Linked DNA regions of Macaca fascicularis. The protein of the gene in region 1 binds, or shares a complex with, the protein of each later gene. Links are inferred from orthologs where the notes say so. Each region holds a gene or a part of one and is shown in the gene's direction. Other genes may lie near its edges. The genes, in order: ING3, MBTD1, RUVBL2, VPS72, ANP32E, MORF4L2 and MEAF6.

Region 1 (3,949 bases):
ATTCACGACAGGGAAGTTTCCTGCTTAAGATGAGTGAAAACCTTGAGTAAGAGTATGTAATGGAGAAGGAAAGCAGGGAACACACACACACAGTTTCAACTGCAATCTGAAAAACAGAAAATGAAAAATAAATTATCAACTAATGACAATTTCCCCAGAAAATCGAAGAGCTAAGAAGAGAGGAAAACAACACCTAGTATTTATTGAATGCAAGAGTTTTTAATAAAAACAATGTAAAAAGAAACTGAGTAGGGACGTACTAACTATATCACAGGAAAACCTTCGCTGGGAGACGTCGAAAAGTAGAAAAAGAACGCCCAAGACAACCAACCTCGAATATGGACTATTTACTCAACATAAAGTTACTGCTATTACAGCCTATTCGAGATGAAGGCTCCATCCGTAATTCATGGCTGCTCACTATGATGATGATGATTATTACTATTATTTGTGGGTGCACATTGTATGTATAGATCAATTACATTAGAATGACGATTAGACGGACTGCAAACTACAATATGTAAGTGGCTATTGACACTATTTGTGCATCTTTTAATCTGGGAAATGCATATTCACTCCACAGTCTCAGTATAAACCATTTCAAAATTACACGTAAGCCAACCAGGTGTCTCTCTTATATTTTAGGAGTGAATAATGAGGATAAATTCCAGCAGAGAGTTCTGGTTTAAGTAACCCAAATTCCCCGAACTTTGCTGATTATCCTAGCGTTTAGAACCTTTGCTATTTGCCTGGCACTTCTTGAAACCCATGACTCACAAACGCCGGGGCATGGAATCACAGCAAAGAACAGGTGAAAAGTTGTTCCTAGTTGTGTTATGCAGGCGCACACAACTCCCGCCATTCTCTGTGCAAAAATCAACAAATAAACAGAGGCACCGCATTTCGGATTCTGTTACGCACTGTTTGCAATGGCGCCTGGTATTGGTAGTTTCTACGAGGGGAGCCGCCAGCGCGCCAACCCTTGCTCAGCAGGAAGAAAACTACATTTCCCACAAAGGCACGGGGGCGAACACCGGCCGGCTTACGTCATTCCTTTAACCAACCAATAGCAGTTCCGGGCGGCAGTGAGGCAAGCGCCGTCAGGCGCCAAAGTGGTTTTTTTTTTTTTCTCTTTTTTTTTTTTTTGCCGGAGTCGAGCGGGTGCTGCTAGCGGAGGCGCCATATTGGAAGGGACAAAACTCCGGCGACAGCGAGTGACACAAATAAACCCCTGGACCCCCTTGTTCCCTCAGCTCTAAGGGCCGCGATGTTGTACCTAGAAGACTATCTGGAAAGTGAGTGCGCGGCGCTGGCGGCGGCCGCCGGTGGGACCTGCGGGAGGGCAAGAGCGCGAGTGGACGGGCAGCGAGATGGCGGGAGGGAGGGGGCGGCGGGGGATGTTTCTCTCTCACGGTAACTGGCAGCCTCGTTGTGGGCTGCCGGCCCCCTCGACCCCCCTGACGCACGCGCGCAGTGACGTAAGCGCGTATTTCGCCGTTGGCCCCGCCCCTCTGACGGACTCTCCCTTTGACAGTGATTGAGCAGCTTCCTATGGATCTGCGGGACCGCTTCACGGAAATGCGCGAGATGGACCTGCAGGTGCAGAGTAAGTCGGCGCGTCTGCTCTTCATGTTGGCTGCGCGCGTTCAGTGCCAGACTTGCTTTTCATCACTGCTAGCGCCTAATGCTCTTTCACTGTCCTCTGGCTCACTCCGCTAGTGCATAAGGAGTTGTCAAAAAGAACTGGCAGCCCTGAATCTCGCCTTTTCTTTCCCTCCCATGCTACTTTTTTCTGGCTTTTGCAAGAGGAGGCGGCATTGGGACAGGTGTATTCCTTTCTAGAATGTAGGATTGTGCAAAAAATATTTCTCTACCGTCATTGAGATAGTTATCTATGTTTCAATGCACGTCAGCATAATAAATGTTGAGATGTTGTCTTGAGCCTTTTCGTATCGAACTTAGATTTCAGCATTTATACTTATTTTAAAGTTCATCCTATTCAGTTTTTCAAGAGTGGAGAGCATAGAAGCACAGGTTATATATAGCTCTTTAGAGACCCTGGCGAATGTCAAATTTTGAAAACTTAGTTACACATTATAAGATACATTTTAAATTGTAACAGAATCGTCATTTTCTTGGTTAAAATGAGTGACAGAAATTAGATTTCACTGTAAAGTTTCATATGTGCTGTACTAAAAATTTTAGCAGTTAGTGAACATTTATTTTTCTTTCAGTGATAGCTTGGTAGTCTCTGTGACTTTTTCCCCAAATTAACTTTACTCTTTCGTAGAGCAAGGACTATAAATAGGTGGCTTAGGGACCACTTGCTGCAGCTAAGAACCTGTCCTTTTCACTGCCCCTGTCTTCTCTGCCCGTGACCACACACCCACTTCTATACCCTTTGTTTATGCGTATATGTTTCCAGTAAGTTTCAGGTGGCACATAATAAAAAGTGGTGGCATGGAAGCCACCTTCTGTTCAGTGGATTGTGGTATGAAGTATGAATTGTGTGTGTGGTTCTCCAGCTATCTCACAAATTCATTTTAATTTTAGTGTAGTCGAAATGCTAAAGATTTGCTGAAGTATTTTCTGCAGGACTGAGCATAGACATGGATGTCAGATAGATCTGAGTTTGTTTTAGGGCTTTACTAATTTACTCATTGACTCTGACTGTATTACCACTTGTGTGGGGCTTTCATTGTCTGTAAAAAGAGAATCATCTAAGGATTTAAAATATTACAGATGGATTAGAATTTATAGTATCTGATACAAAGTAGGCATTAAATAAAGGGTAACTTATTTTAAATTTATTTTTATATTTTGTTTAAAATTTTAAATTCTCATAATTTGGGCTTACAGTATACATATTACAGGGTTTTTAAACGTGCATTTCTTTACAGTAACGAATTTTCTGAAGTTAATAGATATTATGGATTAACAGAACAGTGTGCCAAATAAATTCAGAAATGCTTATTTAAACAAAGGAAGATACTGAAAATTAACCATAGTACTTCACAGAGTCTTTAAAAGGCTATTGTGGACTGAAAATCTCCAAAAGAAGTATGCTATGAAAAGATTTTTCTCAACTTACGTAACAACAGAATCCTTTTTATTAATTTTTCCTTTTTTTTAAGCAGACATCCAATGAGATGATTAGTCTTAGCACTTAATTTGGGGAAAATTTATCTAGAATTAATGTTTAAATGATTGCACCTACTACTTTCAGTTGGGATATGACATGATGAGATGTTTAATGCCTTATACCAAATCTTTTTATCACTTTTTCTTGTTGAAAGAAATGTGAGGATTATCTAATGGTGTTTTCATTGTGTTTTGGTACATTTGTCTGATTAACACCTATAGCTTTTGACCCCAAGGCTGTATTGCTCAAAAATTATAGGATAGAGCCGATCTACTTTGTTGACTCTACTTTGGCTATTGGAAAAAATTTTGAAATAACAAAAACAAAAATAATCTGTCAATAAGGAAAATTGTAACTTTTTAAAGGAAGGTAATTGAGGCTTTATATATTTACATAATCAAAGCATAACATATTTAAGTTACTGGCAAAGTGAAAGAGTATATATTGTCAGATTTTTTTCCCTCCCTAAATCAAACCATGTATATTTAGTATATGAATTTGGTCATTTAATATGATTTTTTTATTATGTCATAGATGCAATGGATCAACTAGAACAAAGAGTCAGTGAATTCTTTATGAACGCAAAGAAAAATAAACCTGAATGGAGAGAAGAACAAATGGCATCCATCAAAAAAGTATGTGCGACACTTTGGATAATTTATCAAGAAATATTGGGACCCTCTGAAAAAGATATTTCAAAATTAAATAGTGATCTGGATATCAAAATAAGGGAATATTATCAATGACTCTTTAGAATGTAAATAATTTAGTGTGGTTTAGAGCTTCAGATAGCGATTTTTAGTCATT
Region 2 (4,274 bases), on another chromosome or scaffold:
GAGCCGAGATGGGGCCACTGCACTCCAGCCTGGGCAACAGGGCGAGACTCTGTCTCAAAAAAAGAAAAAAAAACTTTGGGAGGCCGAGACGGGCGGATCACGAGGTCAGGAGATCCAGACCATCCTGGCTAACACGGTGAAACCCCGTCTCTACTAAAAAAATACAAAAAACTAGCCGGGCGCGGTGGCGGGCGCCTATAGTCCCAGCTACTCGGGAGGCTGAGGCAGGAGAATGGCGTAAACCCGGGAAGCGGAGCTTGCAGTGAGCTGAGATCTGGCCACTGCACTCCAGCCTGGGCGACAGAGCGAGACTCCGTCTCAAAAAAAAAAAAAAAAAAAAAAAAAAAACCTAAACCATAGAATACCCCTTGAAGTGAGTTTGAGCTTCCCAAAACCACAGGACAGAAATGTCCAAGTGGTTTCTACTTGCTCTACTACCAGTCTAATAAACAGACTTCAAACCCAACAGCTCCCACCTCAGTACACTCTTCCTTTTCCAGACGACAAAACTGTCACAAAGTTCAGTTTCCAGTAGCAGTTCTGTACTTCCCAAATAGATTGCTGCCACTTCTCCCACAAGCACCCGAAGGAGGCTCTGGTAAGCAGCTGACATTAGATGGGTCAGCATTTGTGTAAGAAACATGGACTGGGTAATTTTCGGTGCGCTTTCCTCCGCCCCCTATCTAAAATTTCACAGGCCTCCTCTAGACACGCTCATCTCCCTTTACCGTATGTCCTTTTTTCTCTTCAGCACTTGTCACCAACAAACCTGAAGTTTACCGGTTTATCTCATCTATCTTGTCTCTGCCACTAGCATACAAGCTCCAAGAGGCAGGGATTTTTGTCAGTTTTGTCCATTGCTGTGTCTCCTCCAGTGCCTAGAACAATGTCTGGGACTCTCTCAAGAAAAGCCTGGTATAGAATTAAATGGATAGCAAAATGTGTGCAAAAAGTATGATGAATCACGCAGGGTTTGCCATTGCCAGAGAGGGTATCTGGCAACCAACAGGTTCCCCAATATTTGCTAAATGAACGAAATTCACGATCATTCTCAAAATCCTGTGGGTCTCACAGTCACATGGGGAGATAGTTACAACGCAGATGCCCAGGCCCGTGCCCACGAATTGATTCCATCAACGAAATGGAATTCCTAGATCACAAGGAACTGAGGCAGGTGATCAAAAGACCACATTGTTTGGGGAGAGGCTAGCGGAGCCGAGCAGCGGCGAAAGATGCTCACTACCACAGTTCGCAAAGCAGATACCCGAGCAGCGGCGCCTCCGGGGGCGGAGAAAGGCGCGGTCCCCGCCCTCCAGACACTTTCAGTCTGGAGCAGGGAGGCGAAGGACCCGCAGCTGCGACCCTCGGCGCCCGCGTTCTCAGGCTCCCTCCCACCTGAGCGCTCCCCGCCGCCGCAGGTCGCCCAGGCTCCGCCCCCCAGAGCTTCACCGCCCACCGCGCGCCCCGCCCGAGCGCGCCCAGCCCGCGCGCCGCGGCCTCCCTCACCCGCGGGCCCCGCAGACGCCGCAGCAGAGCGTCCTCGTCGTTCTCGACGTCGCCGAAGACCAGCTCCTCCAAGCACCGCTCCACGGCTGGTTTGTCCTCCTCCAGCGTCAGGCGGTTCCGCTGCCGGAGCCGTCTCTCCTCCTCCGCCGCCGCGACTGCAATCGCAGCGGCCGCAGCGCTCGGCCGGGCCGGCGGTTTCCGCTGGGATGAAGGGGCAGGCTTTTGGGGAGGCCGGCCTGGCCCTGCTCCGGCTTTCCAGTCCGGCCTCGTTCCGGGCTTCCGTTTCGGCTTCGCTCCGGTTCTCCGGTCCAGTTTCATTCGTCTCCTCCGTTCCGGCGGCATCGTTAGGTTTGAGGAGAAACGCAGGCGCTCACGTGGAACCTCGCTGCGCATGCGCCCAGGCACCTCCCTGGCCGCCGCCGCCGAAGCCCCTGGGGCCGGAAGGAGCCTGCGCAGCCTCTTGCCACGTGACCAGCACTCCCTCCCTCTACGTAACTCTCACTCCCCTACCCAGCCCCGCCCCGTGTGGGAGTTCCTCCGGGAGGGCCAATCTTCCGGGTGTAGGGGGAAGCGGCGTGACTGGAGTGGAAAATTTTTCCAACACAACTTCGCAGCTGCAACATATTGAAAGGAGCGCAAGAAAGCCCGAGTATACACTCGGACAGCTGAATGAAACTTCTGCTTTTCCTGTTGACTTTAACCAGTGGCTTTAACACAAGCTCCAATGCGCTTTCCACCTCTCGTCTTGGTACGGTCCTTGGAGTACGGAGCCTGCAGAGGGTCCCACGCTGGAAGCGAGTGAGGAGGGTATGTAGGGAAGTGGGCCAATCGGGGCGCGGGTCACGGCGCAGGCGCGCTGGGGAGGGAGGGCTATGCTAATGTTGTTGATATCCTGGGGCCACCCGAGTTAAAGGGGGGAAATCCGGGGGCTGCCGCAGCCGCCACCGGTCTGGGCCCAGCCGGGGGCCCTCTGTAGTCGCCGCAGTCCCGGGGAGAGGCACCTGCCCCCAGCCCGGGGAGGGGGCGCCGCGGGCTCGGGGAGCACGGACAACCCCTACCCATGAGGCCCTGATGGAAAACACAAAGGATCTGGTGAGAGCCGAGCGCGGCAGCCGCTTTGTGTGCCAGGTGGGGGGGACGCCTGCAGCTCCCCGACCCCAGGAACCCCGCAGCTCCTTGACCCTGCTCCCTGGCCTGCTTCTCCATCCCACGCCCCCTCAATCTCCGGAGCCCCCCCTCCCCCTTCCAGCCGTTAAACGATTCAGGGGTTCCCCTCCCCCCACCCCGTCAGCCCTGGACTCGTTGGGGTTCTCTCCATCTCCTCCACCCTCTAGAAGAAAAATTCGAGAAGAAAGTTTTTCTCTGCGTCCTGCCCCCGCCCCCTGCTCTGGCTAGGGGGGAAAGGCTGGATCCGAGACTTTTCCTTTTTTAGCCACCCAGGGTGGGAGAGTGGAGTAGTCCTCTCTTCTTCGCGGGGAGGGAGAGCATAGTTTTGGTGCTTTGCAGGGGTAGGAGTCTGTCCGGCTTGGGGCCAGTGCCGCGAGGCGGTTTGCACGTGGAGGTGGAAATATTGAAAGGGGGCGGGGTGGGCACGTGCGGGAGAGGTGGGAGTGGTGTTTGGGAAGCAGCCTCCAAGGCTGCGTATTTAAAAGGGTTTCAAGTCGGTGGGCTTCTATGACCATTGCGTTCTCCTTTGTGAAATAAGAATCCTAACATTTCAGAGTCGGAAGAGACATTAGAGGTCATCTAAAGCAGCCGTCCCCTCTGCAGCCTCTCTGACAAGGGGTAGGTAGTCTGACCCCTGCTTAAACCCCTAAAAGCACTGAGCGCTCACTACTGCCCTGGAAAGCCCATTTTTCAGTAGTTCTAATTGTTGTCTGCCTACCCTTGTTAGACCCTTCAGTCTCTCATTCATGTCCTGGTTAAGTTGCTCCTTTTTTTACTTCTCAAATTTTCTCTCACATCCTCCTCACCCACCCACTGCTCATTGGCCTATATTTTGTGTGCCAGGAAAGAACAGCAGGGAAGTGGAGGAAGGGGGGGTTGAGAGATAGTGAGGGCCAGCCGAAAACTTTGCTGGGTCAGTGTCAAATGTGCTGCCTTACATGCCTGAAGGTGTTTTTTCTACAGGAAGCTAAATAATTACAATATGGGAATTTCATGCCTGTTTTCTCTCACGAGTGCATCTTTTTGAAGTCAGAAATTTCAGCGTCATCTCCGTGGTTCTTGTATCGCAAAACACATTTGCGGATTACCTAAATCACTTCTCCTAAGGATGTCTAAAACTGTTAGGGATGGTACTGAAGCATCACCTGATAGAGGGATGATTAGATGATTACCGCCCCCACCCATTTGACCTGTGTTCCTCGGGAGCTAGTCTTTCCTCCAGGGGTCCCTCTTCCAAATGCTTTTACTCCTTTTTTTTTTTTTTTTTTTTTTTTAAGTAACTATCTTTTATGAGATTTGAAATTTATGGACCATTTTAATACTTGTTTAGAGTTTACAATATTTTTAATTCTCCTTATACTAGCATACACCAGTACTTATCCCTGGCTGGTTGAGATAGGTCAGTTGAAACTATTGTCACTGGGTGTTTCTTTAACATTCTCCTTCATTTGGTGAGCTGTGCTGCCTCCAAAAGTAGTTTTATTGGCCTAAGAGTCTTGGATGTGCCTGTTTCTCCCTAATATGGTGAATTGGGGGGTCAAGACATAACAGATATAATGTAGAAATAATGCATCTGATTTAAAAGCCAGCAAATAAATTTC
Region 3 (3,500 bases), on another chromosome or scaffold:
CAAAAAACACAAAAATTAGCCGGACATGGTGGTGCATGCCTGTAATCCCAGCTACTCAAGAGGCTGAGGCAGGAGAATTGCTTGAACCTGGGAGGTGGAGGTTGCAGTGAGCTGAGATTGTGCCACTACACTCCAGCCTGGGTGACATCTAAAAAGAAAAAAAAAAAGAATTGGAATTGGGTAGCAATTGCTTTGCCACCTTAAAAAAAAAATTAGGCTGGGTGCAATGGCTCATGCTTGTAATCCCAATGCTTTGGGAGGCTGAGGTGGGAAGATTGCTTGAGCCTAAGAGCTTGAGGCCAGCCTGGGTAACATAGTGAGAGCCCGTCTCTACAAAAAATTTTAAAAATTAGCTGGACATGGTGGCGCACATTTGTGGTCCCAGCTACTCAAGAGGCTGAGGTGGAAGGATCTCTTGATCCCTAGAAGTCAAGGCTACAGTGAGCCGTGATCGTACCACTGTACTTCAGCCTGGGTGACACAGTGAGATCTTGTCTCCAAAAAAAAAAGTGGAGAAAGCTTTTTTGGCTTTTCCCAGAAGTCCCGCTAGTAATGTCTGCTTCCATCTCACTAGCCAGGATGTGGTGGAAATGTAGTGGTAGGGCCAGGCGCGGTGGCTCAAGCCTGTAATCCCAGCACTTTGGGAGGCTGAGACGGGTGGATCACGAGGTCAGGAGATCGAGACCATCCTGGCTAACATGGTGAAACCCTCTCTCTATTAAAAAATACAAAAAACTAGCCGGGCGAGGTGGTGGGCGCCTGTAGTCCCAGCTACTCGGGAGGCTAAGGCAGGAGAATGGTGTAAACCTGGGTGGCGGAGCTTGCAGTGAGCTGAGATCCAGCCACTGCACTCCAGCCTGGGCGACAGAGCGAGATTCCGTCTCAAACAAACAAAAAACAAAAACAAACAAACAAAAAGAAATGCAGTGGTAGCCCCGTAGGAAATCACCTCATGTGCTGCCTCCCACCCACAGGCTTCGCAGGGCATGGTGGGTCAGCTGGCGGCACGGCGGGCAGCTGGAGTGGTGCTGGAGATGATCCGGGAAGGGAAGATTGCTGGGCGGGCAGTCCTCATTGCTGGCCAGCCAGGCACAGGGAAGACGGCCATCGCCATGGGTAAGAAACCTCCCAGGGCAGGAACTCTCCTGGTCCTTGGTAAATAACTCCTCCTGTGTGAGTCAGGGTCAGGATCAGCTGCATTTAACAGGTGACCCAAAGTGGCAGTGGCTTAAACACTCACAATTCGTTCTCGGCCGTGGAAGAATCTAGAGGTAGGCCATTTGGGGCTTATTAAGTAGTGCCAGGAAGTCTTCCGTCTTCCTGCCTCATCATCCTCTGCACTTGGTTCCAGTGTCAAGAGGACGTCGTGTTCCAAGAGGGCTGCCGGAGCTCCAGCCTTCGCATTCATAATCCAGGCAGCAGGAAGAAAAGAGTTAGCATGAGGGTGAACCCCTCCGGTTGGCTTCCTTTAAGCAGTCATCTTGGAAATCCTCCATGTTCTGCTTATATCTCATTGACTAGAATTTAATCATATGATCACACTCTGCTTCTGGGGAGGCTGGGACATTAGATGTTTGTTTAAATTTCATAATTTGGACCATTTTTGCCTTAAGAAAATGAGGATTCTTCTGTTGGACAACAGGTTGTAAAAATAAGAAATTTTAAAAAAGAAAATAGGAAAGAAAATGAGGGTTCTGGAACTAAAGAGGAAGGGGAAGGTGGGTATTGAGGAGTCACCCAGCATCTCTATTGCAGTCCACTAGTGATTTATGATTTTTTCACTCCCAGCTGTTCTTCTTCTTCCTTGTTGAACTCCTATTTATCCTTCAAAACCCTATTTCAGCATCTCTGCCTCACTGAAGCTTTTCCTAACCCAATGCTCTTCCCACTCACTCCCACCTCTGTGCTGAGGATGGGGCCAGGCAGGGAGAATCTGAGTAACAGCCAGGTCTTCAGTGAAGATAAAGCAATGCCTGTTGGGGTGCCAGGCCTTGCACTGGACACTGGGGACCCATAGATGAGTTAGACCAAGGCCTGACTTCAAAGAGCTCCTGGTCTGGAGGAGGTGGTCATGGACACGATCCCTTCCAAGGTGACATGTGTTACAGCGGAGGTAGCATGTGACAGAGGAGGCGCCTGACCTTAGTAGGAAAACGGGGCATGTGGTGGCATTTGTCGGTAGAGGCTTCCAAAGAAGTGGATACCTGAGCTAAGCCTAGTAGGATGGCCAGGAGGCTCCTGGGCAGACACTGGGGACAGCATGTCCAGGCCCAGAATGTGGCACACACAGTGCCTTCCTTCCCTCCATCCTTTCTCCTTTCCTCTTCCTTTTTTTTTTTTTTTTTTTTGAGACAAGAGTTTCACTCTGTTGCTCAGGCTAGAGTGCAGTGGTGTGATCTTCGCTCATTGCAACCTCTGCCTCCCGGGTTCAAGTGATCCTCCTGCCTCAGCCTTCCAAGCAGCTGGGATTACAGATGTGTGCCACCACGCCCAACTAATTTTTGTATTTTTAGTAGAAATGGGATTTCACCCTGTTGGCCAGGCTGGTCCCGAACTCCTGACCTCAGGTGTTTCCCCTGCCTGCCTCGGCCTCCCAAAGTGTTGGAATTACAGGCGTGAGCCTGTAGACTTTATTTTTTAGGCATGTTGTGACCGTGCCTGGCCTCGCCTTTCCTCTTCTTGTGTCTCCCAGGCAAAGCCTCCTGCAGACCAAACCCTGTGCTGGGCAGCACTGGGGTGAGGCTGGCCTCGCCCTGAGGGGGACGCTCCTTAGTCTAGTGAAGGAGGCAGAGAGGACCCCTGGTATCCCCAGGTGGCATGGGTCATGCTCGTCCACTCAGTCCTCAGCAGATACTTGCTGAGTTCTGTGCTGAGGGCCATTGTGCATCCGCAAAGGGGACCAAGAAGAGGTGCCCCTTGACCCTGGGCAGGAGGGTGTGGCAACAGCCTGTCTGTAAGGGCATGCCCCACATTGGGCCAAACCTTGTGGCCAGGAAGCTGGAGGGAAAGGTCTGGCGCTCAGAGCCATTGCTGGAGACAGCCTTGCTTCCTGCCAGCCACCCCAGGCCACAGGCGGTCGAGCGCCCTGCCCTGTGCCGGTTTCAGGCTGTGCAACCATGTTACCGCTGAGCACCAGTGCCTGCCTGCCTGCCTGCCCATAGTTGCTCCTAGGCAGGGTGTCATGCCATGCCAGCACCTATTCTGTTATCAGCCCCATCAGACCGAGGGGGAAACAGACTCGGGGAGCCGTCCAGATCACACGGTGCCGACTGCACTAAGTGGTGGATCTGGGATCAGAACCCAGGCAATCTGCCTTCATCACTTGTAACTATTGTGGCAGCCCCTTGGCCTTCGTCCCTGCTCCCCATCGCCCAGCTCTGAGGCTAAACAGCTCATAAAGGCTGGGAGACTGAGGTGTGGTGAGGTTCTAGGGTGTACACTCTGGGCAATGTGGGATTCTAAGCCAGGCCTGCCAGAGCAACCTGCCCTCCCTGGCTTCT
Region 4 (3,500 bases), on another chromosome or scaffold:
GCAGTGAGCCGAGATCGTGCCACTGCACTGCAGCCTGGGCAACAGAGCGAGACTCCATCTCAAAAAATAATAATAAAAATAAATAAATAAATAAAATAGGTGGACGTAAATTCAAAGATTTCTTCTTATCTCACTCTCTTCCAGGTAGGAAGTCCATGCGTCAGTCTACAGCTGAGCATACACGACAAACGTTCCTTCGGGTACAGGAGAGGCAGGGCCAGTCAAGACGGCGAAAGGGGCCCCACTGTGAGCGGCCACTAACCCAGGAGGAGCTGCTCCGGGAGGCCAAGATCACAGAAGAGCTTAATTTACGTTCACTGGGTCAGTCTGTGGTTTCAGAAAAAGTGGGTAGAGGGGCTGAGGGGCATGAGAAAAACCATGAGACCTGAAGAACCAAAGAATTGGAGAGATGGAAATTTGGGATGAGAGAATCAGAAGGAAGAAATGGCAGAGAGTAGATGATTAGGTGCAAAGGTCTAGGCAGTTATGAGCACTCTGAAGAACAAGCTAAGGTACTTTGGTGTAAAATAAGAGTTGTATAGAACTGAGGTCAAATCCTGGTTCTGCTATTCACTTGCTTTCAGACTGTAGGTAAATTACTTTACTTATTCACATTTTGCTTTTCTTGTTTATAAAATAGGGTGTACACCTAATGACTCAGGGAATTTAGGCAGGAGTATTGCTTAAGGTCAGGAGTTCACAACCAGCCTGGACAACATAGTGAGACCCCATCTCTTTAAAAAAAAAAAAAAAGCAGGGGGTGATAATGTTGACTTTAATGATAATCATGAGAATGTAAAGTCAGCAGATTAGTCCTTCATGAGATAAATTGCTTTAAAAATCTCTTCATTTTATGGTATTGCTTTAAAAATCTCTCCAGTTTGGGCCAAGCGTGGTGGCTTATACCTGTAATCCCAGCACTTTGGGAGGCCAAGATGGGTGGATCACCTGCAGTTGGGAGTTCCAGACCAGCCTGGCCAACATGATGAAACCCTGTCTCTACTAAAAATACAAAAATTAGCTGGGCGTGGTGGCACATGTCTGTAATCCCAGGTACTTGGGAGGCTGAGGCAAGAGAATCATTTGAACCTGGGAGGTGGATGGAAATTGCAGTGAGCCGAGATCATACCCCTGCACTCCAGCTAGGGCTACAGAGCGATACTCCATCTCAAAAAAAACAAAACAAAACAAAAAAAACCCTCGGCCGGGTGCAGTGGCTCACGCCTGTAATCCCAGCACTTTGGGAGGCCAAGGCAGGCGAATCACAAGGTCAGAAGATCGAGGCCATCCTGGCTAACATAGTGAAACCCCGTCTCTACTAAAAATACAAAAAAATTAGCCGGGTGTGGTGGTGGGCACCTGTAATCCCAGCTACTCGGGAGGCTGAGGCAGGAGAATGGCATGAACCTGGGAGGCGGAGCTTGCAGTGAGCCGAGATCGCGCCACTGCACTCCAGCCTGGGCAACAGAGCGAGACTCCGTCTCAAAAAAAAACAAAAACCTCTCCAGTTTATAGGCATAGAACCATGTACGGTATTATATTATACAAAAATATATACTTCTTTATAGAGTAGTAAGAGTCTCATATCATGAAAGGTACATGAGAAATTGAGGGACCAGCAGATTCATACCTCCTGGTACATACTTTCTGGGTGAAATAGCATGTGGAATCACCTACAGTATTTAATATGTTTTCTTTCTCTTTTTTTGTTTTTGACACGGAGTCTCTCTCTGTCGCCCAGGCTGGAGTGCAGTGGCGCGATCTTGGCTCACTGCAACCTCCGCCTCCCGGCTTCAAGCGATTCTCCTGCCTCAGCCCCCCGAGTAGCTGGGACTACAGGTGCATGCCCCTACGTCCGGCTAATTTTTTGTATTTTTAGTAGAGACGGGGTTTCATCGTGTTAGCCCGGATGGTCTCTATCTCCCGATCTCATGATCTGCCTGCCTCAGCCTCCCAAAGTGCTAGAATTACAGGCGTGAGCCATCGTGCCTGGCTATTTTTCTCTTTCTGAATCTCCTTTTTATTGTTGTTCTCTCTCTCCTTTTTTTTTTCTTTTTGGCCAACCATACATAATTGAATATGCATAAGCCAGATGTAATTTCCCAGAAGTGGGAGATTATTTACCTGGAATATCTGGGACCCATCCATACCAGATTAATAATAGTTTTTTTTGTTTTTTTTTTAGGCAGAGTCTCGCTCTGTCGCCCAGGCTGGAGTGCAGTGGCGCGATCTCGGCTCACTGCAAGCTCCACCTCCCGGGTTCACACCATTCTCCTGCCTCAGCCTCCCGAGTAGCTGGGACTACAGGTGCCCGCCACCGCGCCCGGTTAATTTTTTGTATTTTTAGTAGAGACAGGGTTTCACCGTGTTGGCCAGGATGGTCTCGATCTCCTGACCTCGTGATCCGCCCGCCTCAGCCTCCCAAAGTGCGGGGATTACAGGCGTGAGCCACCACGCCTGGCCTAATAATAGTTTTGCAATTTAGATAACTTCGCTGGGCATGGGTGTGGTGGCTCACAAGCAACAAGGTCACCTTGATGTTACTGTAGTTACAGTCTGCATCCTTTGTCCACATTGATTGGTTTGGACTACCGTAAGGAGAGTGACTCCTAGGTTTTCCGTGTCAGTAACTGGCTTAGGAGACCCTTAAGGAGGAGCAAGTTCAGTGGGGAAAAAATAAATTTATTTTTGAACATGTTGAATTTAAGGAGTTTGTGAGCAATTCATGCAGTGATGAGAGGTCAGTTAAATATGCAAATCTGGTGTTCCAATAAGAGATCTGGGCTGAAAATATAAATTCGGAAGTCTTTAGAATATGGATGGTAATTAACAATATTGGAGTGCATCTGAGCATGCAGGGAGAAAGCACAGAGTGAGAAAACAGAGGCCTGATAGAGTCCTGCAGACACTAAAGCGTGATAGTTTCATACAAGAGGAGGAGCTTTGAAAAGAGCCTGGAAGTGACCAACGAGTTGGAGAAACCCAGGAGAGTTTGTGTTAAAAATGCCAGGAAAGAGAATGCCTCGAGAGAGTGACTACTGATTGCTGCTGAGATGATGATTAATAGAACTGAGAAGTGCCCATTGGTTTCAGTGAGATAGAGGTCAGACATGACCTTAGCACTTATTGGCGACCAAGCCATATCGAAGTATATTGGGGAGCAAAACTTTGCAAGCTTGGCTATGAAGGGTAGAAGAGGGAATAGAAGCTACAGAGGGGTCTGAGATTAAGGTAAAGTTGTTTTTATTTTATTTGAAGATAATTAGAAACTATATCTTTCATGAGAAACAACTGAGTTTAAAGAAAGAGAAGAAAGAAAGGTTATTAATAGTGTAGGTTTTTGGAGATGGGAGGCAAGGCTGGGAGATAGAGCAGCATGGTGGAGGAATTGGCCTCAGATGGGGGAGGTGAGAAAGAAAGTGTGGTGGCCGGGTACAGTGGCTCACACCTGTAATCCCAGCACTTTGGGAGGCCATGGCAGGCAGATCATCTGAGGTCAG
Region 5 (3,941 bases), on another chromosome or scaffold:
TATTATCCTACTCTTTCATATCCCATCCCACATAGACAAACTGGTTTTGTTTTGTTTTTTTCCTTCTTCTGTCTTGAACACTAAATTTTAATCCCCTGAGGGAGTGCACTGTTCCTGGAGGTACTGTAATACCAGGTGGATGCGTTAAGTGAACAAGAAAGCTCCTATTGCGTCTTCCTGCTCCCCAAATCCATTTAATATATTGGACTCGGATAGAAAATATATCAGATATTAAACTGTTAAGAACAGATCCTACACTTGATCTTAGCCAAAAGGCAGAGAAGAAGCGATAAACACTTTTAAAAGCACACTTTACCTACAGATTTCCATGGAAACCAACCAAAGGGAAATTAGAGAGGCATTGCTGTGCCATTTCTATGCTAATTAATGTCTGATTTTCATTAGGCCAGCGTTGTTTTTCCTCCAAGGTCTTAGTGTTTATTACAGCAAAAATTAACTCAGTAACAATTCCTCCAGGATAGTTTTATTTAAATATTATTAACTTACATACTTCACCCAACAGCTTTCAAAATTGTTGTCTTTTATAGTGTTAAACTACCATCTTTAAAATCTTGGCTCTGGCTCTGCATCACGGAAGGTCAGCCTCTGTGAAAAGCCTGACCCCAGCAGGACAATGCCACCAAGGCATCTTTTTAATGTGATGCGCACGTTGCTGTACACCTTGGCTGCAAAGCAGAGGCTGTGTTTTTAAAACGGCCAAGAGCCAGTGCATGCCGTGTGGTGAATTATCAGTATCGCAAGTTGGGCACGGAAGGATGCTTTCTCCCTCTTTAACACTAACAACAGAATAAAAAACCAAAAACTAAAAACCAAATCCAACAGACAACAAAACCGTCCGAGTGCCCAGGGAAAGCGCGCCAACTACATAAAGAAAAGTAGGGGGGGAACTGGGATTCAAAATCATTACTCCCGAACGTACACCCTCCTGGACCTATCAGAATTAACTGCGCCCTTGATCGTAGCCAATAGATACGGAGTTTCTGGTCCAGGTCCTCCCTGAAGACTGATAGACATTTACCTAGCCCAATGGAATAATGTGACGCTAAAGAATCAACCAATACGTTTGGGAGGTGGGTGGAGTGTAGGCCAGGGGGTTGGCGGTGCCGTGTCATGGAGGCTCAGTCTCTGAGCAGCCATTGAAGGGGAAGGAACTGCGGGTGTGTGTGTGTGTGCGTGTGTATGTGTGTGTGTATGTGTGTGCGCGCGTGCGTGCGTGTGAGTGCGCGCGCTAGTGTGTGGACAAGGAGGTGGGGGCAGCTGAGTTAGAGTCCCAACTCTTGGACTCCATTTGCTATTCTCTTCTTTCTCCCCCACACCTATCTGGTGGTAGTGGGCGTTTATATTTGCGTTCCTTTTCATTCATTTCTAAATCTCTTAAAAATTTTGGGTTGGGGGTATTGGGAAAGGCAGGAAAGGGAAAAGAAGGAGAGTAGTAGCTGAAGAGCAAGAGGAGGACATGGAGATGAAGAAGAAGATTAACCTGGAGTTAAGGAACAGAGCCCCGGAGGAGGTGAGATGACTCAGCCCCCACCCCTTCCCCATCAGTCCTGTATTCTGAGGATCGGATTTCTGGTGGTCCTGGGTGGGTGTGCGGGGATGGAGTAATAAGTTAGCCCCCGCCCCCCCGGTTTAGGGTTGGGGAAATGTTTAATTTTAAGTTTTAAATCATTAAAATCTTCTACTTAAAATGGCGAAGGGTTGAAGTTTCTAGGGGCGTTTTTGTGTGTGCATGGGGGCTTAGCTCCTTTCGGCTTTCATCGAGTCGGGCGTCCTGGCCTCGTGGGGGCGGGAAGCGGGCTGGTGGGGGCGCTCTGCCGCTTCGCTCCCGGCGCTCCTCCTCCTGAGGGCCAGCGGCGTGGGACGCGACCCCCCAGTCCCACTCGGCCCCTGCCGCAGCCATCGGCGCCTGAGAAGTTAGTCCAACTTTTCTGCAGTGCGGCCAACTCATCTTTTTGGGGGGTGGGCTCCCCCGGCCTCGAGGCCCTGGGCGTCCGACGTCGCGACGGGCGCGGACTGGGGTCGCTTTCAGGGTCCGCGCACTGTCTGCTCCGGCGGCGCCCACTCCTCCGGGAAGCCGCGCGCGCTGCCCTCCGCCCTCCGCCCTCCGCCCTCCGCCCGGCGGAATCTGGGTCAGCCGCGGGTTCTCTGACCGCGGGCGAGTTTGGGGACTCGTCGCAGTGACCGGAGGTGGGGAGGGGACGGGAGGCGTAATCCGCTTCTTCCCCCGCCGTGTAAAGATATGTGGCACGTCGTGTGGCCGCAACTCTTGAATTTGATCCCTGGAGACGGTTTCACAGAACTCAACATTAAGGGACGTAGTAGTTTCGTGCTTTAAAGATGGGTTCGCCGAAACTAAATGATGCGCTCTCACTGCTGTTGCCTTAGTTAAAGAGACGGGGTTGGGAGGGGCCACATGAGGCGGGGTCGCGGTCAACTTTTCGGGGGTCGGGCAGGAGGCGTTTCCGCCTCCTTTTCGCGGTTGCCTCCTCGGCCTCACCTACCCAGGGCGAAGGCGCGAGGGCAACGCGGGTTGGGAGGCGACCCCTTTTTTCCTTGGGGAGTCCCCGCCCGGTGTGGGGTTTCCCGTCAGTCGGAGCGGCAGGTCGCGAGAGCAGGGCTGGTGGCCAGCGGGGAGCCTCGCAGAGGAAAGCATCTGTCTTGCTGAAAGAAGCCCTAGAATTGGAATGTAAGGGAGTTGTCTGTAGCTGGATCGACCGATCGATAGAAGGATATAACGGGTGGTGTCTGTGCAGACCCGCATAGAGGATGAGCAGGGTCTGTCTAGGCTTTCGCGTACGGCGTGTGGAGTGGCAACTAAGACTTTTTTTTTTTTTTTTAATACATTTTTTTTTTTTTGAGACGGAGTCTCGCTCTGTCACCCAGGCTGGAGTGCAGTGGCCGGATCTCAGCTCACTGCAAGCTCCGCCTCCCGGGTTCACGCCATTCTCCTGCCTCAGCCTCCCGAGTAGCTGGGACTATAGGCGCCCGCCACCTCGCCCGGCTATTTTTTTTTTTGTATTTTTTAGTAGAGACGGGGTTTCACCGTGTTAGCCAGGATGGTCTCGATCTCCTGACCTTGTGATCCGCCCGTCTCAGCCTCCCAAAGTGCTGGGATTACAGGCGTGAGCCACCGCGCCCGGCCTTTTTTTTTTTTTTTAAGGTGCCTGTTTTCTGAAATTGGCAGGGGCCAGGGAGGGGAAACAGTTGCTTGCTATCAGGGTCATCCCGGAGAGATCTTGAAGTTTCTAGAACTTATTCTTAGGGGCTTCAGGGAAAAAACAAAATCAAACTTGAAAAGCTGTCTCTCACAAGCACACGTTTAGAATACTTTTTGGTGGCTTGGGTTGGAAAATTGAATCCCGCCCCCGCCTCCCCCGCCAGGATTCTTTGACTTAGTGATTGTAGTAATTTCTTTGCCAGTTTTGGGAGTGCAGGACGTTGCCTTTTTTCAGCTTCTTCCTCTGTGTTGTAATAACGGTCTCTTACATTTGTGTAGACAGTTTACAAAGCACTTTTTCCGTTTGTTATTTACTTTCCTCCTTACACACTTGTAAAGTGGATTGTGTTATTCTAGAATCCAAATTAGCAGACGGAGTCTCAGGACAGTGAAATGATTTACGCAAGTGCAGGAATTGGTTTTCTGACACCAAATCTAGTAGCCCCCACTCCTCAACTAAATGGGGAGTGTGAAGACGAACCAATTCACAGCCCTGCGGCAAACCAAGTGTGACTCTAGGCAAGCCATTCTTGTTCTCTGGGCCATAGCTTCCACTTCTCCAAAACGGAGCTCAAGATGCTCTCTCTGGCAACAGAAATAATTATGTCAAAGTCGTATTCAAATAGAGAAGGTGGCATTCCTTGTTGCCAAATTTTAGCCCTCGGATACCTCAAACAGGTTTTCACATCGGGTATAGAGAACC
Region 6 (4,120 bases), on another chromosome or scaffold:
TAACACAGATTACCAAACCCCACCGTGCGAACTTCTGATTCATTAAGTTTGAGGTGGGACCTGAGAATGTGAATTTCTGACAATTTTTCAGGTGATGCTGATGTTTCTGGTACATCCAGGAAACACATCTTGTGAACCACTGCTCTAAAAAAATCCCTCTTGTGTACAAGTATATAAGATAGATAATTGAAAGGGGTATGATTTTTGTTGTTTGACTTTGATCTAGTACTGCTCATCTAATAAGGACTTGGTGATAAATTTAAAAAAAAATCGACATGAAGGATATAACACAGCATCTAAAATATAGAAAGCATACAAAAAACTGAGGATCACAGAACATAAATCATTTGCCCAGGGTACTGAGACTAGTAAGTGGTGGAATGAGGTTAACAATTAAGTCTCTTTCTCTCACTCCAAAGACACAATAAAATCTACCAATACCACTACAGAAAATAGGGTGCAAACACACATATCTGATACAAATTTCAAGAGAAAAGGAAAATCAGTTTTCTTTTTTTTTTTTTTTGAGACGGAGTCTCACGCTGTTGCCCAGGCTGGAGTGCAGTGGCGCGATCTCGGCTCACTGCAAGCTCCGCCTCCCGGGTTCACGCCATTCTCCTGCCTCAGCCTCCTGAGTAGCTAGGACTACAGGCGCCCGCCACCGCGCCCGGCTAATTTTTTTGTATTTTTAGTAGAGACGGGGTTTCACTGTGGTCTCGATCTCCTGACCTTGTGATCCGCCCGCCTCGGCCTCCCAAAGTGCTGGGATTACAGGCTTGAGCCACCGCGCCCGGCCTTGGAAAATCAGTTTTCAATACCAGGGTCCAAGTTTTACTGATGAGTTCTTATCTCTTTACTAAAGTAACAGCTATCTGTATTTTCAGTTTGGGTGAGTTGCGAGCATTTGAAAAGTTGAGGAAAAAGGGTTAGGATCTTCAGCATCAGTGCTTGGGTCATTCATTAACTCTTTGATTAAACAAGGCAAGGACAAAAGAAGCGAGGGATGGAGAGGGGCCTTCCCCCCCGCCCCCCCACCCAAGGAGAAAAGGAAAGAAATGAGTAAAATTATTTGGATCTTGGGTCACAGTTCCCTGCCTACTAGTGCTATTCACAGAAGCTGATTTTATTTTTTCCTAGGAATGAACGATATCAATGATGCCTTAGATATTAGCGTTCAGCAAATCAAGAAAGGGGAGGGGGGAGGGAAACAAAATCCCAGAATCCCAGGGACCACACAGCCAATCCTTTGCTGGGATTTGGCGGCATCTAGTGGCGAACTCGAGAGGTATAAACCTTACCCACAGAACTTTCTGGAAAATTAACAGTGCGTATTTGCCTGAAGAAGGTCAGTGTGCTTGCTTGGAGATCAGAACGCAAAGGTAAGAGCGCCCTAGTCACCATAAAAATCCGGAGTCTCTAACGGAGGGGAAGGCTGTCATAGATAGATATTCTCATAGGAAAATTGTATTTGTGCCAAGAGAACTGCACGCAACCTTGAAGGGAGGGGGGAGGTGTGGAAGAGGGGAGGGAGGAGGATACTAGACAACTTGAAAGAAGTCTCCCTTTGGAGTTGCTAATGTGACGATGGAAGGCTTTGGCTCTGAATCATTGGAGGGCTGTGGTTTACGACCGGATTTTGGCACAGAGGAGTATTTAAATCAGGGAAAGCCAAAATATTTCTGACAGTGCCCCTTTATCTCTGTTATTGTCGCCTTGCCTTAATTATTTATTTTCCTTTTCATTAGAACATTTTCAAACAAAATACAGAAATAGATAACCTGCGCGCAGTAGCTAACCCCTCCCCGCAACTCCCACCCCAATCACGCACGCGGGCGCGCGCCGTGGCTCTCACCAGTCCAGACGCCAGGGGCGCACGCCTGCGCAAACACATCACCTCCAGCGCCACGAGGGCCGCTCACACAGCAACCCCAGGGGCACTCGAGCCTGCCCGCGCACTAACACACTGGCCTTAATGCCTTGCGCCCGTTGCACTCACGACCCTAACTCGCAAACACAGCAGAACCCCCCACTGCGCCTTTTTTTTCCATGTTCGGGGAGTTGCGCCACAGGCCTGGGGGCGTGGCTCCAGATTTGACCTCGCGCTTCCCCACTCGCGGGAACCTTAGCTCATTTCCGCCTATTTCCGCAGGCCACGTAGACACTTCCTCTCCCAGTGGGGGGCTGGGGGGAAACACAAACCCATAATGCCTCCCTGCAGGAAAAAAATTAAAAAAAAAAAAAAAAGGAAAAGGAAAAAAAAAAAAACCTTCTGGTCAGAGGAACTCTGGGTCGTGAAATAGGCCACGTGAACATTCTGCCCTATAGACTTATGACCCAACGGCTGTCACGCTTTTGGAGGGCGGGCTAAAAACCTAAGAGGGCGAACGTCATTGGCCGGAACGCGCACTGACGGAGGAAGAGGATTGGTTTGCTGTAGGCCTTAACAGTGAAGAAGCAGGTTGCTAGCACCCGCCTTTACTGCGGCGAAGTGTCATTGCTGACGTGGGGGTGGTTGTCCAATCATTTGGTTATGGAACATTCTAAAACTTAGACAAGACGATTGTGATTGGCTGAAGGGCATACGCCCTCCTCCAGGGTGACGTGTCTGCCTATGGATATCAGTTGCCAGAGAAACCTGGCTTTACTATGGCGGTTGGAGGAACGGCAGTGATCACACGTCGTCTGCTGGGAAGATCTGGATTCTCGTTTCAGGTTTCGGGGTGGGGGTGGGGAGAAAGGGTCGATGATTTCCTCTTTTCGTCGGGTATAGACGGGATTAGCTAGTTCCTTCACAATCGGTCAGAGCTGGATTCAGATTCCTGCTCGCCAACGCCCAGCTTGGGCAAGGCTCCTGTTCTTTCTGTGTCTCGGTTTCCATGTTTGTAAAATGGTGATAATAATAGTATCTACCTCAGAGACGTGTACTGTATAATGGTGCGTATAAGGCACGTAATATGAAGCCTGGCCCCTGAAGATATTAGCTATTGTTATGGAGATAAATAATACACGTAATAGAATGAGAAAAATTATAAATTATATAAATTCGCTAATTGTAGTGCCCTTTCTGCCATCAACTTCTTTCCTAGAATAAATTAAAGATAAAAGAGATATATCAATTTTTACCAATGAAATAATTTGCTCTTTGGGAATTGCCTCAAAATTGCAGAGATTGTAATTTTCCCATGTTGAAAAGTTAAATAAAAGGTGGGGGGGTGGAGTGCGAGAAAGAAAGAGATGGAGAACGAGAGCGAGCTGGAGATGAACCACATGCGATGAGTAGGCCTTGTTTGGATCCTGAATCGAACACACCAACTGTAAAAATATGTTTAAGACGCATCGGGAAAATTGGAACATGGATTCGATATTTGATGTTTTTTAAGGAATTGATGTCAATTTTTTTAGGCGTCACAGTAGTATTGTGATTATGTTTTCAAATTGTCCTTTTTTGTAGAGACATATACGAAAATATTTACGGATTAAATAATATAATGTCTGGGATTGGCTTCTAAATACATTAATGACTAGGATTTGCTTCAAAATAATCTAAGCGGTAGGGGGAAATGGGGAGGGGTATAGATGAAACAAAATTGACCCTAAATTAATAATAGTTTTTGCTGAGTGATAGGCAGTGGGTTCCGTATATTAATCTGCTTTCCTTGGTATACGTTTAAATTTTTGTATAATAAAATACAGAAGTCAGATATTCCCGTGAGCTTGAAAAAGTCGGGGGTGGGGGGGAGCAGTGGGTGGGGTTATAGATGAAACAAGATGGCCTTCAGTTGGTAATTGTTGAAAGCTGGATGATGGATTCGTGTAGGTTTGTAATACTATTCTTTTATTTCATCCATTTGAAATTATCTTTAAGGAAAAGTTAAAAAAATTGTCAGAAGTTATATAAATATACAATAAGTTAAATTTGAAAATGTAGCCACAAGAAAGGAAAAAGAAATACTTGTACATTATTTATCAGCTTTGGTGTCCTTTGTGTGTGATGAAATTGCATTGGCTGATGTAGAAGAAAGCCATATCTCATATCTTTTTATTTTATGTCCTTTCCTGTCCTTTTGTTTGACCTTCTAGGTCACCATCAGAAAAGCTAAGTTTGCTGTATAGTGAGGAT
Region 7 (4,001 bases), on another chromosome or scaffold:
GACAAAAAGATAGAAAATATAGACGGTAGGTTAAAAATAAAGGTTTCTTATGTTCGAGTTCCAGAAAGAGAGAGAATATGAGACAGGCATCTGAAGAAAAATGACTGCGATTTCCCAAAACTGGTGGAAGATACCAACCCACAGATTATAGAAATCCAAAGACTTCCAAGCAAGAAACAAAACAAAAAGAAAAAATATCCCACTTAGACTTATGATAGCGAAATTGCAGAAGAGTGAAAGATGGAGAGCTGAGGAGGGAGAAATCAACAGGGGCCAAGTGAAAACAACGTCTACACCTTGGACTTAACGATAAAAGCGAATTCGTACTTGCAGAGTCATTGGCACCTGCCAAACCCCTTACACACATTAGCTGATTTACTCCTCACAGCAACTGTATTAAGTAGATTCTATCACTGCTTTCATTTTACAGATGAGGGAGTTGAGATTTGGTTATTTACCCAAAGGGGCACACTTTATCGATGTAGCGATAGGATTTTGAACAAGGTAGTTCTCGCTCCAGTTTTGTGCCCTTAACCACTACACATACTTGTTTCTCCAAAGGGCAATGGGAAAATGGGAAGCCACTGAAAGGCTTTAAACAGGGGAGTGATAACATTTGTTTCTGGAAGATTCCGGCACCACTGTGGATAGTGGATTAAATGGGGCTAAAGGTGGAAATAAAGAAGCTGTTGGAATAACGTAGCCCCAAACAGGGAGGGCCTGAATGAACTAAGAAGGTGGCAAAAGGCGCAGGCACAAGCAAATGGATTCGCGAGCTCTTCCGGAGTCGAATCCACAGGGCTTGACCTGGTATCGCGTTTTACTCCGGGTGCAGAGTGAGGAAAACCGGGTTTCTGACGCAGGCAATTGCGGTGGATAGTGAAAGTCATTCACTGAAGTGGACTGAGGCGGGACGCACAGGAGACTCGGAGGCCTGAGGACGAGCTAGGCTTTGGACACGGTAGATTTGTGCCGTCTGTAAAGCCCGCGGCCAGCCGAGGGGCAGGAAACGGCGTAAAGGGCAGAGCAGAAGCCGACTCTCTGGACCTCTCCGAGAAGGATCGTCCAGAGTCCCGGCCGCAGAGCACCTCTGCGCGGCGCTGCACGCGTCTCCGGAAGCCGCGCGCGCAGGCGCAGTGCGGGGGGCGCCCCCTGGCGGCGCAGGGACCGCCCCCAACCTCGCGCCGCCGCCGCCCGCCTCAGCCCAACATGGCGATGCACAACAAGGCGGCGCCGCCGCAGATCCCGGACACCCGGCGGGAGCTGGCGGAGCTCGTGAAGCGGAAGCAGGAGTTGGCGGTGAGGGGCTAGGACCGGGGTTGCCCGGCATGGGGCTCCGCGCCCGCCCCGCCTCCAGGCCCCAAGCCCGGCTGCGCCAGGCCGTTCGTTACTCCGGGGGCGCGGCGCGGCGGGCTGTGTGCTCGGCGGCCTGAGGCCGGGTGCGCATTCTGCGGCCCGCCGGCGGTTCAGCTTCCCGGCTGTGCGAATCCGGAGCCGGGAGGGAGCTGGGAGCGCGGGAGGGGGAGGGGCAGCGGCAGCCGCAGGAGGGGGCGTGGAGGGAGGACGGTGCCGGGGCTCGGGACTCGGGGAGAGGGCGCTAGGAAGGGCGAGGCGGGCGAGTCCGTGATCTTTGCGGGGTGGGGGTGGGGTAGGAGGCTAGTGTGGGAGGGGGACCGAGTCACCCTGTCTGGACTTTGGAGGATGGTGGGGAGCGTGTTCTTTTTGGTACTAGTAGTAGATCCGTTGAATGGAGGCTTTTGATAGACAGGGTTGTGATGTGTTTGGGAATATCTAGAAGGTGACAGGCGAGGGAGAAGAACACATTCTGGAGAATTCGGAATTGTGACAGGCACCCAAGGCCCAATGCACCCTGGTGGCTAAGCTCTTCCTGCCCTCACGTCTCGGCTTGGGCACCCCGGAGGCCCCTCTCACCTGAAGCTGCCCTTCCAGGTTTCCATAGCAACTGGCAGCCCGGTGCCGGCGGCCTCTCTGAGCCTGCGGGGAGGGGAGCGAGTTGACGCTGAAAGGCTGCTCACCCTTCCCTCTCCTGGTAGCGATACCTTTTGTGCGTGGGAGTGGATATCGCACAAGTTCTGCGTTAGCCTGGGTTCTTGACTCCTGGTTTCCGTGAATCCTCTAAAGTATATGCAAAATTTCGCGTGTGTGTGTATTTTTCTGGGGACATGCTTTATACATTCAGAGGTCCATCACACCCAAAGGTCTAGACTGTCTTAGTCCTAAACGGCTGCTCCTCCCCATATCATCCATCTCTCCACAGGGTGATTTAGTGTGGACAAGCTTGCGTTTACAAATCTAATATCAGGATTTCATTTTGGTCAGACTTAAGTGTTTGCATTTAAAAGGCATTATTCATGTCCTTGTTTTTCATCTCTCAGGAAACACTGGCAAACTTGGAGCGACAGATCTATGCTTTTGAGGGAAGCTACCTGGAAGACACTCAGATGTATGGCAATATTATTCGTGGCTGGGATCGGTATCTGACCAACCAAAAGTGAGTGTCGAAAGCCTGTAGTGTTCCTATTGTGTTCCTATTGTGTGTGTTTGTAGGACTGTAGGCTCTTAGTAGCAAGTTTGCTAGAGGCAGTAGTAAAGTGGTGGTGTGGTCTGGACTTGAACTCTTGGACTCTGGCTCAGGCACTGCCTCACTGAATAATCTTAGACAAAGCTCACGTCTGTAAAATAGCAAAAGTTGGGCCTTTGGCACAGGGTTGTGTGAGGCTTAAATACAGCATATAACAATATCTTTATACAACATCACTCTATTAAATTTTTTACACATTTTAATCAGTCGTGAGTTCTACCCTCACAGTATTTTTCTTTTCTTTTTTTCTTTTTCCTCCTGAGTAGCTGGGATTACAGGCGCATGCCACCATGGCTGGCTAATTTTTTTATTTTTAGTAGAGACGAGGTTTCTCCATGTTGGCCCAGCTGGTCTTGAACTCCTGACCTCAGGTGATCTGCTGCCTTGGCCTCCCAAAGTGCTGGGATTATAGGTGTGAGCCACCATGCCTGGCCACTTTTCTTTTTTCTAAGAGACAGGGTCTCATGCTGTTGTCCAGGCTGGAGTGCAGTAGCACAATCTTAGCTCACTGCAGCCTCAAACTCCCGGGCTGAAATGATCCTCCCACCTCAGCCTCTCAATTAGCTGGGACTACAGGCACACAATACTGCACCTGACTAATTAAAAACATTTTTTTTTTTTTGTAGAAGTGGGGTCTCACTTTGTTGCCCAGGCAGGCCTGGAACTCCTGGTTTCAAGCAGTCCTCCTGCCTCAGGTTCTCAAAGTGTTGGAATTAAAGGGGTGAGCCACCACGCCCAACTGACCCTCACAATTTTTGCCATACCTGTGTGCCAGCTGTACCACTGCTTGCTTAGTAATATTTTTAAAAAATTTCTAAACTTTTGGATTATCTTCAAGTTATAGAAAAATGGGAAGAATAGTATATGAACACTTGATACTGTCCTACCTGTATTCAGATTGTTAATGTGTTGTGACATTTGCTTTCTCTTACTCTCTATAATATTAATATAAGCACACACCTGTATTTACATTTCACGTTTTTAAATTGTGAAATAATTATAGATTCATAGGGAGTTGGCAGAATGGTCTTTTGTAGTCTTCATCTAGTTTTCCCCAATAGGTGTGTTGTTTTTTTTTTTTTTTTTTTTTTTTTTTTTTTTTTTTTTTTGAGACGGAGTCTCACGCTGTTGCCCAGGCTGGAGTGCAGTGGCGCGATCTCGGCTCACTGCAAGCTCCGCCTCCCGGGTTCCCGCCATTCTCCTGCCTCAGCCTCCTGAGTAGCTGGGACTACAGGCGCCCGCCACCGCGCCTGGCTAATTTTTTGTATTTTTAGTAGAGACGGGGTTTCACTGTGGTCTCGATCTCCTGACCTTGTGATCCGCCCGCCTCGGCCTCCCAAAGTGCTGGGATTACAGGCTTGAGCCACCGCGCCCGGCCAATAGGTGTGTTTTATATAAC

What was found.
Region 2: ING3 (region 1) and MBTD1 share a complex: the UniProt entries of both Homo sapiens proteins name them as parts of the nuA4 histone acetyltransferase complex. The link is inferred for Macaca fascicularis from reciprocal best matches to the Homo sapiens genes ING3 and MBTD1.
Region 3: ING3 (region 1) and RUVBL2 share a complex: the UniProt entries of both Homo sapiens proteins name them as parts of the SWR1-like complex. The link is inferred for Macaca fascicularis from reciprocal best matches to the Homo sapiens genes ING3 and RUVBL2.
Region 4: ING3 (region 1) and VPS72 share a complex: the UniProt entries of both Homo sapiens proteins name them as parts of the nuA4 histone acetyltransferase complex. The link is inferred for Macaca fascicularis from reciprocal best matches to the Homo sapiens genes ING3 and VPS72.
Region 5: ING3 (region 1) and ANP32E share a complex: the UniProt entries of both Homo sapiens proteins name them as parts of the SWR1-like complex. The link is inferred for Macaca fascicularis from reciprocal best matches to the Homo sapiens genes ING3 and ANP32E.
Region 6: ING3 (region 1) and MORF4L2 share a complex: the UniProt entries of both Homo sapiens proteins name them as parts of the nuA4 histone acetyltransferase complex. The link is inferred for Macaca fascicularis from reciprocal best matches to the Homo sapiens genes ING3 and MORF4L2.
Region 7: ING3 (region 1) and MEAF6 share a complex: the UniProt entries of both Homo sapiens proteins name them as parts of the nuA4 histone acetyltransferase complex. The link is inferred for Macaca fascicularis from reciprocal best matches to the Homo sapiens genes ING3 and MEAF6.

The regions. Positions count from the first base shown.
Region 1 is NC_088377.1:162,563,701-162,567,649, forward strand, and holds the start of ING3 (inhibitor of growth protein 3), read left to right. Parts: upstream 1-1,149; 5' UTR 1,150-1,267; coding exon 1,268-1,295; intron 1,296-1,534; coding exon 1,535-1,606; intron 1,607-3,676; coding exon 3,677-3,777; intron 3,778-3,949. UniProt on the Homo sapiens protein: Component of the NuA4 histone acetyltransferase (HAT) complex which is involved in transcriptional activation of select genes principally by acetylation of nucleosomal histones H4 and H2A.
Region 2 is NC_088390.1:55,444,692-55,448,965, forward strand, and holds the start of MBTD1 (MBT domain-containing protein 1), read left to right. Parts: upstream 1-1,474; 5' UTR 1,475-1,506; coding exon of another isoform or gene 1,507-1,848; 5' UTR 1,849-2,175; coding exon 2,176-2,313; intron 2,314-2,359; exon of another isoform or gene 2,360-2,577; coding exon of another isoform or gene 2,578-2,598; intron 2,599-3,227; exon of another isoform or gene 3,228-3,291; intron 3,292-4,274. Other genes in the region: UTP18 (U3 small nucleolar RNA-associated protein 18 homolog), read right to left, coding at 1,507-1,848. UniProt on the Homo sapiens protein: Chromatin reader component of the NuA4 histone acetyltransferase complex, a multiprotein complex involved in transcriptional activation of select genes principally by acetylation of nucleosomal histones H4 and H2A.
Region 3 is NC_088393.1:56,988,371-56,991,870, forward strand, and holds part of RUVBL2 (ruvB-like 2), read left to right. Parts: intron 1-974; coding exon 975-1,116; intron 1,117-3,500. UniProt on the Homo sapiens protein: Possesses single-stranded DNA-stimulated ATPase and ATP-dependent DNA helicase (5' to 3') activity; hexamerization is thought to be critical for ATP hydrolysis and adjacent subunits in the ring-like structure contribute to the ATPase activity.
Region 4 is NC_088375.1:110,036,189-110,039,688, forward strand, and holds part of VPS72 (vacuolar protein sorting-associated protein 72 homolog), read left to right. Parts: intron 1-144; coding exon 145-321; intron 322-3,500. UniProt on the Homo sapiens protein: Deposition-and-exchange histone chaperone specific for H2AZ1, specifically chaperones H2AZ1 and deposits it into nucleosomes.
Region 5 is NC_088375.1:111,027,968-111,031,908, forward strand, and holds the start of ANP32E (acidic leucine-rich nuclear phosphoprotein 32 family member E), read left to right. Parts: upstream 1-1,141; 5' UTR 1,142-1,477; coding exon 1,478-1,531; intron 1,532-3,941. UniProt on the Homo sapiens protein: Histone chaperone that specifically mediates the genome-wide removal of histone H2A.Z/H2AZ1 from the nucleosome: removes H2A.Z/H2AZ1 from its normal sites of deposition, especially from enhancer and insulator regions.
Region 6 is NC_088395.1:110,058,189-110,062,308, reverse strand, and holds the start of MORF4L2 (mortality factor 4-like protein 2), read left to right. Parts: upstream 1-1,320; 5' UTR 1,321-1,379; intron 1,380-1,852; exon of another isoform or gene 1,853-1,867; intron 1,868-2,643; exon of another isoform or gene 2,644-2,712; intron 2,713-4,080; 5' UTR 4,081-4,120. UniProt on the Homo sapiens protein: Component of the NuA4 histone acetyltransferase complex which is involved in transcriptional activation of select genes principally by acetylation of nucleosomal histone H4 and H2A.
Region 7 is NC_088375.1:197,413,606-197,417,606, forward strand, and holds the start of MEAF6 (chromatin modification-related protein MEAF6), read left to right. Parts: upstream 1-1,201; 5' UTR 1,202-1,209; coding exon 1,210-1,299; intron 1,300-2,396; coding exon 2,397-2,512; intron 2,513-4,001.